Linked DNA regions of Mus musculus. The protein of the gene in region 2 interacts with the protein of the main gene of each other region in a pairwise test. Links are inferred from orthologs where the notes say so. Each region holds a gene or a part of one and is shown on either strand. Other genes may lie near its edges.

What was found.
Region 1: the proteins of Pnkp (region 2) and Zfp639 interact in binary tests that used the Homo sapiens proteins (3 or more experiments, as listed by UniProt). The two-hybrid records come from large-scale screens. The link is inferred for Mus musculus from reciprocal best matches to the Homo sapiens genes PNKP and ZNF639.

The regions. Positions count from the first base shown.
Region 1 is NC_000069.6:32,517,092-32,520,591, forward strand, and holds part of Zfp639 (zinc finger protein 639), read left to right. Parts: coding exon 1-48; intron 49-2,018; coding exon 2,019-2,153; intron 2,154-2,440; coding exon 2,441-3,500. UniProt on the Homo sapiens protein: Binds DNA and may function as a transcriptional repressor.
Region 2 is NC_000073.6:44,855,696-44,859,945, forward strand, and holds the start of Pnkp (bifunctional polynucleotide phosphatase/kinase), read left to right. Parts: upstream 1-1,450; 5' UTR 1,451-1,524; coding exon of another isoform or gene 1,525-1,557; 5' UTR 1,558-1,699; coding exon of another isoform or gene 1,700-1,708; coding exon 1,709-1,859; intron 1,860-2,467; coding exon 2,468-2,514; intron 2,515-2,757; coding exon 2,758-3,054; intron 3,055-4,027; coding exon 4,028-4,107; intron 4,108-4,192; coding exon 4,193-4,250. UniProt on the Homo sapiens protein: Plays a key role in the repair of DNA damage, functioning as part of both the non-homologous end-joining (NHEJ) and base excision repair (BER) pathways.

The DNA.
Region 1 (3,500 bases), on a different chromosome or scaffold from region 2:
GTGTCTGCTCTATGAGACAGCCAGACTTAAAATATTTTGACAACAAAGGTATGTATCCTGTTTTCCTGAATACTCTGTGTAACTTGCTTTTACAGAACCTAGGGATGACTCAGTGTGGGTAAGTTTCTGCTTACCATGCAAGACCCGACTCCTTTGTAGTACTACAGAAAAATAAGCAAAAGCTGCCTTTGTGTATTTTCTCTTGGGAACTATCCGAAAAGGTAGTTTGCGAGTTTATGGTTTCAAGACAGGAAAACATTTTTAATTGTTATAATTAAAAAAATAAGCTTTAAAAATCAAATTAGTAATTTCCATTTTTAAGCAAACTCTTTAAGTCCTTTTTAGTTGGCTAAGAGTTGATACAAATGGGACGTGATGTAAAGGTGGAGTGTTGGTAGTCAAGTGTTAGAAAGCACCTTGCCCACTTGTCTCAGCCTGGAGTGCTGATGGAGGGGAAGGAAAGATGGAGAGCGGCTGCTTGGTGTCCCTCAGTCTCACATTTTCAGTCGCCTGCTCCTTTCTAGAGCGCTGGTAAGTAAGTGGTAAGAAGATGCACCCGCTGCTGCTTCCCATCTGTGACAAAGTCGTAAGTGAGAGCCCATGTCTGACACAGAACTGTCTCGCATGCTCACACACAGACCTGCTCACAGACCTGCATCTTACACCTGTGGGAATTATTCACAAAGCTGTTGTGCTTTTTTAGTTGAGAGGCCTAAAAGAAGTATCATAGTAGTGAGCACATTTTATGTCCAGATCTTGGTTTATAATACCAAGGAACTAAGGCCCCTACAGACATGGCTGCTTCTAGATCTGGGAAGGAAATAGACAAGATGTGTTTGGATTCTCTTGTGGTGCTGGAAAATAGAGAAATATTAAAAAGCAAAATGACAGGCAGCATGGATGAACTAAAGGAGCACAAGAGCCAGTTGGAGGTGCTCTTGAGGGCTCTGGAGCTCAGCTGACAGATTGCTTGTCTACCACACATGAGGCCCTGGCTTCCACTTCAGCACTGAAGACAAAAGGAAAGCTCCAAATAGCCAAAACTGAAGTAATTTGAGAAAACATGAATCTATACTGTTATAAATGATATTGTGAATATATAGGGATAGAAGAGAAAAATTGTCTGCACAAAAGAATTCCATTTATATCAGTGTTCTTCCTTAGGGAGATGGGAACAACGCTCCACTTCTTAGTGTGGGCTTCACAGTGACTTCCAGGGAGAAGGGTAGGAGAAAGACAGTATAGAAACCAAAATGCCAGGTTGGGAGGGGCAGTTCAGCAGTGTGTACCCTAGGGTTCTGCCCTCCAGTAACTCATAATTATAATCTAGTCATGAAAAAAAAATAGGTAAATTTCATTAATGGGACATTACAAAATGTCTGTAAAGTAGTCCTTAGAACAGTCAGTTTCCAGTTACCTACAGAGACATGGTTAAATTTAATATGGGATCCAAAATGACACTGGGTAAAACCAATTAAGTCTGAATGAAGTATGGGCTTCCATTACTAACAATGTATTGGCACCAGTAGTCGTGTGTCAGTTATTAATAGTAACAAATGCCTCATATTCATATAAATAATTAATAGTAGGGAAATGCTTATGATGTATTAGGAACACCTTATACTATTTTCACAATTTTTCCCCTAAAACTCTTCTTTTAAAAACAAAGTCTATTAAAACACACATGTTGCCGTCCAGTTTCTCTGTTGACCCTTATTTCAGTTTCTGTGCTAAGTTGGAGAGAATGAGACTAGAGTAAAGGAATATTGATTCAATCTCACTCAGTACCTTAAGCTCCTTAGGATGTTCAGAGTGTGTTCTAATATAAGGAACATATAAACAAAGGCAGTGGGGTGCAGGTTATTCTGATATATTCTCAATGTCTTTAGCAATCTATAATAAGTAATATGTCCTTTCAAGGCTAAGTCTAAGTTGTTAGTTTCTATTGCTGTTAAAAAATAATATTTTATGATTCTTAATGCTTTGATATAAAATGTTTTTCCAAATTCTTCTTACAGATGATGATTCTGATCCTGAGACAGCAAATGACTTGCCCAAATTTGCAGATGGAACCAAGGCCAGAAACAGGAATCAGAGCTACCTGGTTCCCAGCCCTGTGCTTAGGATTCTAGACCACACTGTCTTTTCCACAGGTTAGGGGAACTCATTCATAGCATTTAGAATCTCTGGTTCAGATCAGCTAAAAGCAGCACATACTGTAACTTCCTTTCACAGGATTGTTTCTAACTAGGCTTATTAAGTGCAGTGCTACAGCAGTGAGGACGGCTGTTTCTAATGGGGCTTTATTAGCACAGTGTGACAGCAGTGGGGCTACTGTCTCTAATGAGTGTATTGAGCACAGGACTTCAACAATGGAATGATTGTTTCTAATGGGGCTTATTTAGTACAGTACTACAACTGTGGGTTTTCTTCGTTTCAGAAAAATCTACTGAAGTTGAGATCTGTGATGAAGAATGTGCCTCACCTGAGTCAGTGCATCAGCATACTCAAGAGGAGAGCCCTATAGAAGTTCATACCTCAGAAGACGTCCCAATTGCTGTAGAAGTTCATGCAATCTCTGAAGACTATGATATAGAGGCAGAGAACAATTCCTCTGAGAGCCTCCAAGACCAGGCCGATGAAGAACCACCAGCTAAACTCTGTAAAATTCTTGACAAGGGCCAGGCTTTGAATGTGACTGCCCAACAGAAGTGGCCTCTCCTGAGAGCCAACAGCAGTGGTCTCTACAAGTGTGAACTTTGTGAATTTAACAGTAAATACTTTTCTGACCTAAAGCAACATGTGATCCTGAAACACAAGCGCACTGACTCGAATGTGTGTCGGGTGTGTAAGGAAAGCTTCTCTACCAACATGCTTCTCATTGAACACGCCAAACTCCATGAAGAAGACCCCTACATCTGTAAGTACTGTGATTACAAGACTGTGATCTTTGAGAACCTCAGCCAGCACATTGCAGACACGCACTTCAGCGACCACCTTTACTGGTGTGAGCAGTGTGACGTGCAGTTCTCCTCAAGCAGTGAGCTCTACCTGCACTTCCAGGAGCATAGCCGTGATGAGCAGTACCTGTGCCAGTTCTGTGAGCACGAGACAGGGGACCCTGAGGACTTGCACAGCCACGTTGTCAACGAGCACGCTCGCAGACTGATTGAGCTGAGTGACAAGTGTGGCAGTGGTGGCCATGGGCAGTGCAGCCTTTTAAGCAAGATCACCTTTGACAAATGTAAAAATTTCTTCGTGTGTCAAGTATGTGGCTTTCGGAGCAGACTTCACACAAATGTCAACAGACACGTGGCTATCGAGCATACTAAAATATTCCCTCATGTTTGTGATGACTGTGGGAAGGGCTTTTCCAGCATGTTGGAATATTGCAAGCATCTAAATTCACATCTATCTGAAGGGATTTACTTATGCCAATATTGTGAATATTCAACAGGACAAATTGACGATCTTAAAATTCATCTAGATTTCAAGCATTC
Region 2 (4,250 bases):
GTGCTGGGATTTCCAATCTGCCCCATCATACCGAGCTTTAGCGTATTTGTCCCAGAATTAGAAGCGATTTTCCCACTTTATTGCAAAGGGACCGGCATCATAGAAGCAAAGGAAGAGTGTATAGTGATGCTATGCGCTTCAAATGCTAAGGACAAGCTGGTTTGTTTCCGCTGCTACGCAGAGGAATGATGAAGGCGCACATCTGTCATTCCATCAGCAGGGAGATGGGTTTAAGGAGGCACAGGTGTTCACGTCAGTCTAGACTTTTTGAGACCATGCCTCAAAGAACAAAAAAAACCGTGAGCAGTGGCGCACACCTCTAATTCTAGCACTTGGGAGACAGGAGCAGGTGAATCCCCTGGTATCAAAAAGTAAAACAACCCATCAATGGCCAAGTGTGATGGCATTTTCTTCCTTCCTCTCCCCCCCCCCAGCTTTTAGAGCGTGTTTTTCAAGATAGGGTTTCTCTGTGTAGCCCTGGTTGTCCTGGAGCCCTTCTGAAGACCAAGCTGTCACTAAACTGAGATCTGCCTGCCTCTGCCTCCACTTCCCCAGTTTTAGAATGAAAGACGTGCGCTGCCAACCTGTCTGTAGAGCTCTATTTTAATACTAATATTTGGAAGACAGACAGATCCCGAAATTTGAGCCCAGTTTGGGTGTATGGTGGATTAACATACACGCCAAAAAAAAAAAAAAAAAAAAAACTTGTCTGGGCTGAAAGATAACTGCAGCCGGACTTTTTGATTTCGCTCATAGAAGGGGAGGCAAGGTCATGGGACCCTGACCTTAGTACCCAGCTGTTCCTCACAAGCAACTATATGCAATTTTGCCCTAGTTGCCTGTGGTTTGGGGAGGGGCTAGAGGATACTGGTGAGGGGGAAGGGAAGGGAAGGGCTCTGTCTGTGCAGTATGAAATGAGGCTTCATTTCTGCTAGATGAAAACTGCCCCGTGTGTTTTTTTGCAGGTAGCAACACAACCACCACCACCTATGCTCTGCAAGCCCAATATAGTCGGCTTCCCCAGAATGCTCTGTGGTGGAATCATATTTCAGGTTATATATACTTCAGGCCTTTGGAGAAGGGTAGGCATTTTTTAGGTCTTCCCCAGGAGAGCAACTTCCTCTTTATTTTATTTTTGCGGTGGGGGCAGAATCTTACTATGTAGACCAGGCTGGGCTCTGCCTGCCTCTGCCTCCCAAGTACTAGGATTAATATTAAACTCATGTGCCACCATGCCTAGGAAAGAATTTTAACAAGGCTACATCCTGAGAACCTGTCTCACTAAAACATACATACATACATACATACATACATACATACATACAAGAAAATCAAAACAAAAACAAGTAACTCTAGCGTAGGGATCAAGTGACTATGGATGCGAGTGACCCCTATCCGCTCTGGCTCAGAGCGCCTCAAGCGAGTCAGGACTGCGCATGCGCCGTGGGAGGAGCCAAATTTTCGAACAGTCTTTCCCATAGCATAGATGAGCTTTGGAATGAATTCAGAAGTGACTCTACCTATATGCAATCCTCACTGCGCATTGGAACCGTTGTGGTAGCTTGGGAAACGTCGAACCCGCCCATGGGCAAGGGGCGGAATTTCCGGTGTGGCTCGCATTGGGAAAGCAGAACTTCCGGTGGCGGGTGGGTTGCCGGCTGCTGAGCAAGCTCCACTGTGATTCTGTTCCCCTTCACAGCATCCGAGGATGTCACAGCTTGGATCCCGGGGCCGCCTGTGGCTGCAGAGCCCCACCGGTGGGCCGCCCCCTATATTCCTGCCGTCGGATGGCCAAGCCCTGGTCCTCGGTCGGGGACCCCTGACCCAAGTGACGGACCGGAAGTGCTCCCGAAACCAAGGTGGGCACGGGAATGGAACTGCTGCAGAGTGGGATTGGAAGGAAGCAGGGGAGCCTATGCCTAGCCAGAAGCAAGACGAGGCATTATGGGAGGGACAGAGAGGATCTGGGAGATTGTCACCGGAGGGGAGAAGGACAACAGAGAGACGGTCGCTGGGCAGGCTACATCAGGCGGTGATGCATCAAGCCATGCCCAAGACCTCGGTCTACCCCATGTATCTCATGGGACAAAGCAGACCCTACAGATAAAAAAAATACCTGTTCTGGACAAGTCCGTGTCTCTAGCAATCCTAGGGACTCCGAAGTACCTGTTATTATTGAGGAATAAACTGGCTCGGGGGGGGGGGGGGGGGGCAGACACCCCTGTCATCCAGAGAATTGGGTGGTAGAGGCATGAGAATCAGTTCAAGCCCAGCCGCTAGTATGTAGCGAGTTCAAGGCTATCCTGGGCTACCTGTGTTGGGGGATTGAGGAAGGAAGGGAGAAAGTGCCTCTCTTACTTAAGTCCTAGGGAGAAAGTGCCTCTCTTACTTAAGTCCTAGTAGTAGACTGTAGTTGGCCACGCCCCTGTACGTGATGTAAACCCTGACTCCACCCCCTTACCCTCAGTGGAGCTGATTGCAGACCCTGAAAGCCGGACAGTGGCAGTGAAACAGGTACCAGTGTCTTGGCAGCGGGTAGCAAGGACTTGGGAGAGGGGCCGGGTAGATGACAACCCTTCAGAAGGCTGGTCAGCTTTCCGCTTTAACACCGTGCCAGACTAGAAGCCACTAACCTTTCAAAGTTCTGACTGGCCACACGAAGTGAATAGGTGGGAAGATTAAAAATTGATTGGGAGCTAAGGTATTGGATTTGGTGGGGCGGGGTGGTGCCAACCCTAGCTCCTCCTTTGTCTGCAGCTGGGTGTTAACCCGTCAACTGTTGGGGTCCAGGAGTTGAAGCCAGGACTGTCTGGCTCTCTAAGCTTGGGGGATGTCCTTTATCTGGTTAATGGCCTATATCCCCTGACCCTGCGTTGGGAAGAGCTCAGCACATCAGGATCCCAGCCAGATGCTCCACCAGACACTCCTGGGGATCCGGAGGAGGGAGAGGATACTGAGCCTCAGAAAAAGCGAGTTCGGAAATCCTCTCTTGGCTGGGAGAGCTTAAAGAAGTTACTGGTGTTCACAGCGTCTGGGGTGAAGCCCCAGGGCAAGGTGAGGCCGCCACCCCTGCTGCCACCCAGGCTAGCCAGTTAATGTAAAGTTTCCTGTGCAGCCCTGAGCTAGTCTTATCAAAGTTCCTGAGCCTCAACTGTTCTGTGCAGAGAAGACTGAGACCCCAGTGGTGCCGCCACCACTGAGGTACAGGGTACAGGTCAGGCCCTGTAATCAGTGGTGACCTTTCTTGGATCACTCTGAAATGAGGCCACAGAAAATTCACGGCCTAGTTTCCTGTGGCCACTCAGCCAACAGTGAGGTTTGTTTTTTTAAGAATTGATATGACCTGGCACTCGGGAGGCAGAGGCAGGCGGATTTCTGAGTTCGAGGCCAGCCTGGTCTACAAAGTGAGTTCCAGGACAGCCAGGGCTATAAAGAGAAACCCTGTCTCGAAAAAAAAAACAACAACAACAAAAATCAAAAAAAAAAAAAAAAAAGAATTGATATGAGCCTGCATGATTTTCTGTGTACTGTATGCAGGTGGCTGCAGAGGCCACAGAGCATTGGGTGCCCTGGAGCTGTAGTTACAGGCAGTTATGGGCCATCTGACATTTGTGTGCTCCTAACCACTGAGTCTAACCACTGAGCCATCTCTCCAACTCTTCCAACAAAGCCCTTTGCTCCTTCTGGGCTGTTAGTTCTCCAAGGAGATGCTCAGAGAAAAAGGATTTGTGAGACACTGGTTCCTACTAAAAAAAAAAAAACAAACAAACTGGAAGTGGAGGGCAGAGGACACAGAAGGATAATACTGGTATTTAAAGGCTGGTGTCTCCAGGTACACGCCTTCAGTCCCTATACCTGGGAGGCAGAGGGAGGCAGATCTCTGTGAGTTCAAAGCCAGTCTGGTCTGTAGAGTGAGTTCCAAGACAGCCAAGGCTACACAGAGAAACCCTTGACTTGAAAAGGAAGACAGTAAGCCTGTAAGGAAGGTCAGAGGTGACAGTATTGTTGTCCCTGTTGGTGATACCAGGTGGCTGCCTTTGACCTAGATGGGACCCTCATCACCACCCGCTCTGGAAAGGTCTTCCCCACTAGCCCTAGTGACTGGAGGTGAGGTGGGACATGGGAGGCGGCTGGGCTGGGTGCCCAGAGTTCTTTAGATCACAAGTCACCTGCTACTTCCCGTCCACCTTAGGATTCTGTACCCAGAGATTCCAAAGAAGCTCCAGGAGCTGGCTGCTGAAGGCTACAAG